2 linked regions of the Macaca fascicularis genome follow. The protein of the gene in region 2 interacts with the protein of the main gene of each other region in a pairwise test. Links are inferred from orthologs where the notes say so. Each region holds a gene or a part of one and is shown on either strand. Other genes may lie near its edges.

Region 1 (2,889 bases), about 35 Mb from region 2:
TCGTGGCAAAGTCTGGAAACAAAGAATATCTAGCCCTCTGTTCAACACCAAACAATACACAATGGAACTAGAGCGGCTCTATCTACAGATGTGGGAGCATTATGCAGCTGGCAACAAACCTGACCACATGATTAAGCCTGTTGAAGTCACTGAGTCAGCATAAATAAAGACTGCACAGGAGAATTACCCCTATACCTGAGCCTCAACCTTCTGGGGGAAAGGGAACTAGATAACATACTTCTTACTTGTCTGTACAGTACCTTGTTGCAGATGGGTGATATATAATGGTAATAGAATAGCACAGCCAGACTTGCTTCCTGCATGGTAGGGAGAGACACAAGAGATGGGAAACTGCTGTTCCACAAGGAATCTCCGTAGAATTTTGCAGCGACCAGATGGTGCATAGGTCTGGAAGGTCTGATCTCCCTTGGTCTCTTCCATGGGATGGTTAGTGTGGAGGGGAGATATAGATTGTCCGGCCGCTTTGTGATTCCATGGATTGATTCAGTCTTCTGGATTAACTTTTTTCTTTATATTTTGGGTACTGGAGCTTTTAAAAATGTTTGGTTTCAGGTATTTTTATTCATGTGAAGTGTATATGATTCTCTTGAGATAAGGTTTTAAGCTAAAATGTTACTCCCTGTTTTAGTTTCTGAACTCTGACAGATCGACAGGGACTTTGCTGGTGTAGTCTTTTTATAGGTTTTATAAACCACTTGAGCCTATATCAGTCGTTTTAGTGTCTGACCTAATGTTTGGAGCTATCAGTGCTTTGTTGATTTAGATGATGACTCAAGATTTTTTCTGGTCCATTTCCCATTTCCTTCTCTTCCCTGACCCCCATACCCCCACCCTTAAAATTCTCCTGTAACTCAACTAACAAAATCAAGTCTGATTCAAAACATCCTAGGGTGTTTCTCTTAAACACGCCATCTGGTGCCAAATGAAAATTTTTAGGAGTGATGACTAATTATCAAGGGCACAGTTGTGGTACTGTCATTGATAATAATATAGTTTTTTTTTTTTTTTTTGGCCTAATTTTGACCTGTTTCACCAGTGTTTTACCCTTGACTGCCCCTTCTATGCTGCTTCCAAAAGTGATAGTGTGTGTAAGATTTTTACCTTCCTTTCTAAAGTTTTTTTTTTTTTTTCTTAAAGTGAGTCCTGTTCTTCCTATTTCTTTCAGCAGAAATGAAATCCCAGGTAAGTATAAGTATTCAAGTATTTGATCAGTAAGTCACAGTTATCTCCAGTGCATTAAATAACCTTCATCAAGAAACAGGTTATAGGTAAAATCTCTGAAGGACCATCTGTGTATTCAAGTAATTATATTTTAGATATTCTGGACTTGGTCTTGAAGTCTGTACAGATTCAGCCTCAATAGTAGCAAACTGCACTGCTATTTGGTTTGGAGTACAAATTAGACTTATAGTCCTCCTGGAACTTGAGTTATTAAAGTCATAGGAATAAAATTATGGGATCTCAACAGAGTCGAGGGTTTGAGGCTTAAACAAGCCAACATATGAATATATGTTTTGTCTCGCTGTACTGCACTTACGCTATCCAGTCGCAGGTAATTTTTTGTCTGCCAGTAGTGTTCTAGATTATGTCTTTCCAAAGCGCTGAGGCTGTGCACCTATTCTGTAGTTGCAGCTGATGCCTGAATGTATCCTAGCTGACAAATTATTGATTAATAAGAACTTGCATTTCTGAAAGATGCTTACTGTTAACCAAATTTTGAGCTAGGAGTCTCAAAGGTAATTCTGAACCAGAATTACATGTTAATGAACAGTGTACCTTTTAACAATGTAAATCACGGAATATCCGTGAAGGGATTTCTTAATTTATTTTTTACTGGATGATTGAAATACCAGTTAAAGGTTGCCAGCATGGTTGCAGATAAACTGACGTTTGAAATTCACCGAACTACTTAATGTGGAATAGGGTAATATACTTCCAATGCCCTCAAGGCTGTGACCTTACAGCCATTTTACATAGCACATCATTCCTCCTACAGGGATGAACTTTTTCCTGGCACGAAAAGTAGCCGCTCTGGTTGAAGCTTTGCTTATTGTAACAGGCTTTTATTTCCAGGTAACATGTCTGTGGAAGACTTAATTCTGATTAGAGATATAGATATTACTGGAAACTAATTGTTTTTTTTTTTTTTTCTATTGTACTCTGCTTTATCAAAGAAGTAAAACATTTAAATCGTGCTACAGAAATTAAGATGTTGTCTTGCGATCCTTAAACAATAAATGATTTCCCCTTAATACGGCTGATGTATTTTGTGTCCTGTTATATTGAGTGGCTTGATGAATAGGGTCATCCAGTGATGAAACCTGTATTTGAACAGCCTCAAACAGCAGCAAAGGACCAAATTTCCCTTCTGTAGCTATGATATTAGGAATTGTTTTCTCAGCCAGGTCTGGTGGAGGGTGGTGGGTTAGTTTATGATCCATTAAGGCGGCAAAGTGGCTGGATGTGGTGGCTCACGCCTGTAACCCCAGCACTTTGGGAGGCCGAGGCAGGTGGATCACTTGAGGTCAGGAGTTCAAGACCAGCCTGGCTAACATGGTGAAACTCCGTCTCTACTAAAAATACAGAAAACTAGCCGGGAGTGGTGGCACACACGCTTGTAATCCCAGCTACATGTGAGGCTGAGACAGGAGAATCGCTTGAACCCAGGAGGTGGAGGTTGCAATGAACTGAGATCGTGCCATTGCACTCCAACCTGGACGACAGCCTGTGATCCCCAACACACCCATTCATGCTTGCTCCTCTTTTGCTTATGACCTTTCTGCTTTCATTTACCCTCGTAGTCTTGGTCTTCGTGTGGACCATTCTCTTCTTGGCTTTTGGGGGCAAAATTATTTTCCTTCCTGCTCT
Region 2 (3,665 bases):
AGTCTGGCTTTGCCAGTGGATGTGGAGGTCAAGCTTCTCATTGGGCATTGCTGACCCCATGGATGGTAGGAAGTGGGATCCCTACAGGTCCTAACTTGAATTACCTTGTTCAGTTGTAATGATGCTGGGTGGGTATAGAGATTCAGCTCCCCACTGGGTCTCTCTGACACCAGAGGCAAGAGGTGAAGCCTAATGGTGACTAAACCCTGCCTCTTCTGCCTCATTGAGCCTTGTTGCTACTGGGTAGGAATTTAGGTTCAACTTGTCATTGGATCCCACAGAAAGAACCCTGGTGGAGGAACTGGAATTGTGCCTGTGTCTTCCACTTAGGAAATTGATGATTACCTTCCCACTGAGCCCTGCTGACACTGCCCCAGCAGAGGAATCAGCATTGACTGGCTCTGCTGGCCAAGGGATCAAAGATTAGCTAGTTACTGAGCCTTTTTTGATACCACTTGGCAGGGGAATCAGAGTTCTACATGGTTCTGCCCAGTGGGGAATGCCCACTCTCTTGTGGATACTTCTCAGACAGGGAATGGGTCACTTTGACTAAGAGCTGGGGGAGAGAGAATCCTATCTCCTTAGCTATGCCTACCCAGAAAGGAGCTTCTGTCATGCTGAGCTGGGATGAGGGGAAGAGAAAGAGCAGATTATGGCACAGACTTTAGCTATTCTTGCTGTGATTTAGTAGGTTTCTTAATAAATCTTTATTTACTATATTCCTCTAGGATAATTTCAAGTGACTTTGAGGGGTTGTTTTTTTAAATCATCTTTACCAGTTATGTTTGTTTTCTTGGGGTGCAGGTACGGGAAACTCCTTACATGCTGTTTTCTTCTCAGAGTCCTCCTGAGTTCATTTTTAAAATCTGATCACACTTTTTAAAGTATGATTATTGGATCATCCTGCATGCTTTTATGTTTTAGTGTAGTAGCAACTCCTGTGATGACATATGGTCACCTGGAGGGTCTTATAAATGAGTGGAACCTTGAGCTGGAAGATCAAGAGAAGTACTTTCTTCTCCAGGCCACTCAGGTCAATGCTTGGGACCGTACATTGATTGAGAATGGTGAGATGGTAAGAAGATGTTTTCATTAATCTACCTATATTGTGCAAGTATTTACGATGAACATAAGAACATAGACCTGTGTTTTGTGGTTTTCTTTGTTGTTGTTGTTTTGTTTATGTTTTTGTTTGTTGAGACAGGGTCTTGCTGTATCACCTAGGCTGGAACACAGTGGTGCAATCACAGCTCACTGCAGCCTCAATCTCCCTGGCTCAAGCAATCCTCCTACCTCAGCCTCCTAAGTAGCTGGGACCACAGGGGCACACCAGCACCCCCAGCTAATGATGTGTGTGTTTTTTCAGTAGAGATAGGGTCTCACTGCATTGCCCAGTCTGATCTCAAACTCCTAGGCTCAAGTGATCTTCTTGCCTTAGCCTCACAAAGTGCTGGGATTATAGGCATGAGCCACCATACCCAGCCCTGTGGTTAATTCTCTATTCCAATATTGGTGAGCAGTTCAAAATATATTCCTTAGGTAATAAGTACCCTGAATAAAAGGAAATCTTTCATATTTGAAGTATATTTGAGAAAATTAATATTGCTCTAAAATTGTTATATAAATTCAAATACTTATATTGTTGTATTCATATTTCTCTTTATAGATTAGTATTTTACATGGAGAAGTGAACAAAGTGAAACTGGATCAGAAAAGGTAGAACCTTAGATTTCCTTGGTTGAAAGATTAAAGACCTATCTTTTTATTCAGTGTTTTTTTTCCCTCTGTAGTTTGTTAACTCTTTTCTTTTTGTCACTCCAAATTCCTTTCATCAGCCCTTTTATTAACTTACTTTATTCAGGTTGGAACAAGAATTGGATTTTATCCTGTCAGAGCAGCAGGAACTAGAATTTCTGTTGACTTATTTAGAGGAGGCTACGAGCAACCAGAGTGGACTTCATTATCTGCAGGATGCAGATGAGGAGCGTGTGAAGACGTAAGTAACTGGATAAAGATTGAAGAATGGGGCAGGACTTACATATTACGAGAGCATTCCAGGAACAGAGGGGAAAAGTCGAATTGGAAGGCAAAGAATACAAATCGGTAGAAAGGGACAAGCTTTTGTAGTTGACATTTATCAATTTGTTTGACTGTTTTCTGCTTATCTTTTCTGGATGCTTGTAAATGAGGAAATCATTCTGGCAATTTTGTTTTATAGCATTTTGTTTATTGTTATTACTGTCAACCTTATGCATGTTCACTGTAAAGGTTTTGTATTTGTCAAATTTGTTCTTAAATTAGAAGTACAAATTTTATGTGTGTGGTGTCATGGTATTGTGGGATATTTGTGGTATCCTCTTTATGTTGATTCTGCTAAAACTAATGTTCATGCAATTGCTTTAGTGATAAATCATTTGCTATTTTAAAGGCAATTTGTTAATCTGGAGGCAAACTGTATAGCTTTCAAAAATGGAGTGATTTTGTCAGTGTATTAGGAGGGCTATATTTTATTTGTGAACTCTTCAGTCTTTACCTTCTGTCAGTACAGTGCCAATGTTTCCGAAGTAACTTTATTTCTCTGGAACTGAGGTTTGGTAGTCTGTCAATTTATTAAGTATTAGAATTTGTATGAATGAACAACATAATCTAGACTGAGACTAAATTGGACACATTTTATCAATAACTTATTATGAGTTAAGACTGGGCCTATTTTTAACATGCTTGCAAGTTAACTTTTTTGTAGGAGCATTAAATGTGGTAAGTACAACTAATCTGTATTAACCTAAACCAGTTTCTGCTTTTGTATTTCAACCTTTGTGAATTTTTCTTTTCTTTGTATTGCTTTCTATGCATTCTATCATTTTTTTGAAACATATAGAGTTACATTTTTGGCCATAAGATCCTAACTATAGTTTGAAGAAATCTTCATGACATTAGTTCCTTTCCAGTTGCTCTTTTGTAGTCAGATATATATTCAAGATGAAGTCTTGCTCTGTCGCCCAGGCTGGAGTGCAGTGGCACGATCTCGGCTCACTGCAACCTCTGCCTCCTGGGTTCAAGCGATTCTTCTGCCTCAGCCTCCTGAGTAGCTGGGATTACAGGCACGTGCCACCACACCCAGCTAATTTTTGGTATTTTTAGTAGAGACGGGGTTTCACCATGTTGGCCAGGCTGGTCTCGAACTCCTGACTTCATAATCCACTCTCCTCGGCCTCCCAAAGTGCTGGGATTACAGGCATGAGCCACCACACCCGGCCCAGATTTATATTGTGATGAAATATTTACCAGAATCTTCAACAATCTAGGCAACCAATTCTATGGCATAAGTACTATGCCATAGAAAGGCAGTAGATAGTTGTTACCTACAAATCTAATTGACTCTTTAAATCTTTATACACATTAAGGTTGAAAAATCCTCTGGCCACTTTAATTCTTATAAACATATTTATTGACTGGGTCGTGTGTGTGTAGTTTGTGTGGAAATCTTGAGAATTTAGGCAACTAGTGAACTTAGCAGATTTGTCTATCTTTGATTATCATGAAGCTCATTTCTCAAAACATCTTTTTTGCCTGATGGAGTATATTTATATGAGGTTTTATTTTGCAAATTTGTGTATTCAAGATCATTGAAGACATCTCAGCATTTATTGAATATTGCCAAACCC

Evidence for each region.
Region 1: the proteins of NUP62CL (region 2) and OGT interact in binary tests that used the Homo sapiens proteins (3 or more experiments, as listed by UniProt). The two-hybrid records come from large-scale screens. The link is inferred for Macaca fascicularis from reciprocal best matches to the Homo sapiens genes NUP62CL and OGT.

The regions. Positions count from the first base shown.
Region 1 is NC_088395.1:78,293,622-78,296,510, forward strand, and holds the end of OGT (UDP-N-acetylglucosamine--peptide N-acetylglucosaminyltransferase 110 kDa subunit), read left to right. Parts: coding exon 1-163; 3' UTR 164-2,273; downstream 2,274-2,889. UniProt on the Homo sapiens protein: Catalyzes the transfer of a single N-acetylglucosamine from UDP-GlcNAc to a serine or threonine residue in cytoplasmic and nuclear proteins resulting in their modification with a beta-linked N-acetylglucosamine (O-GlcNAc).
Region 2 is NC_088395.1:113,743,476-113,747,140, reverse strand, and holds part of NUP62CL (nucleoporin-62 C-terminal-like protein), read left to right. Parts: intron 1-924; coding exon 925-1,075; intron 1,076-1,666; coding exon 1,667-1,716; intron 1,717-1,861; coding exon 1,862-1,996; intron 1,997-3,665.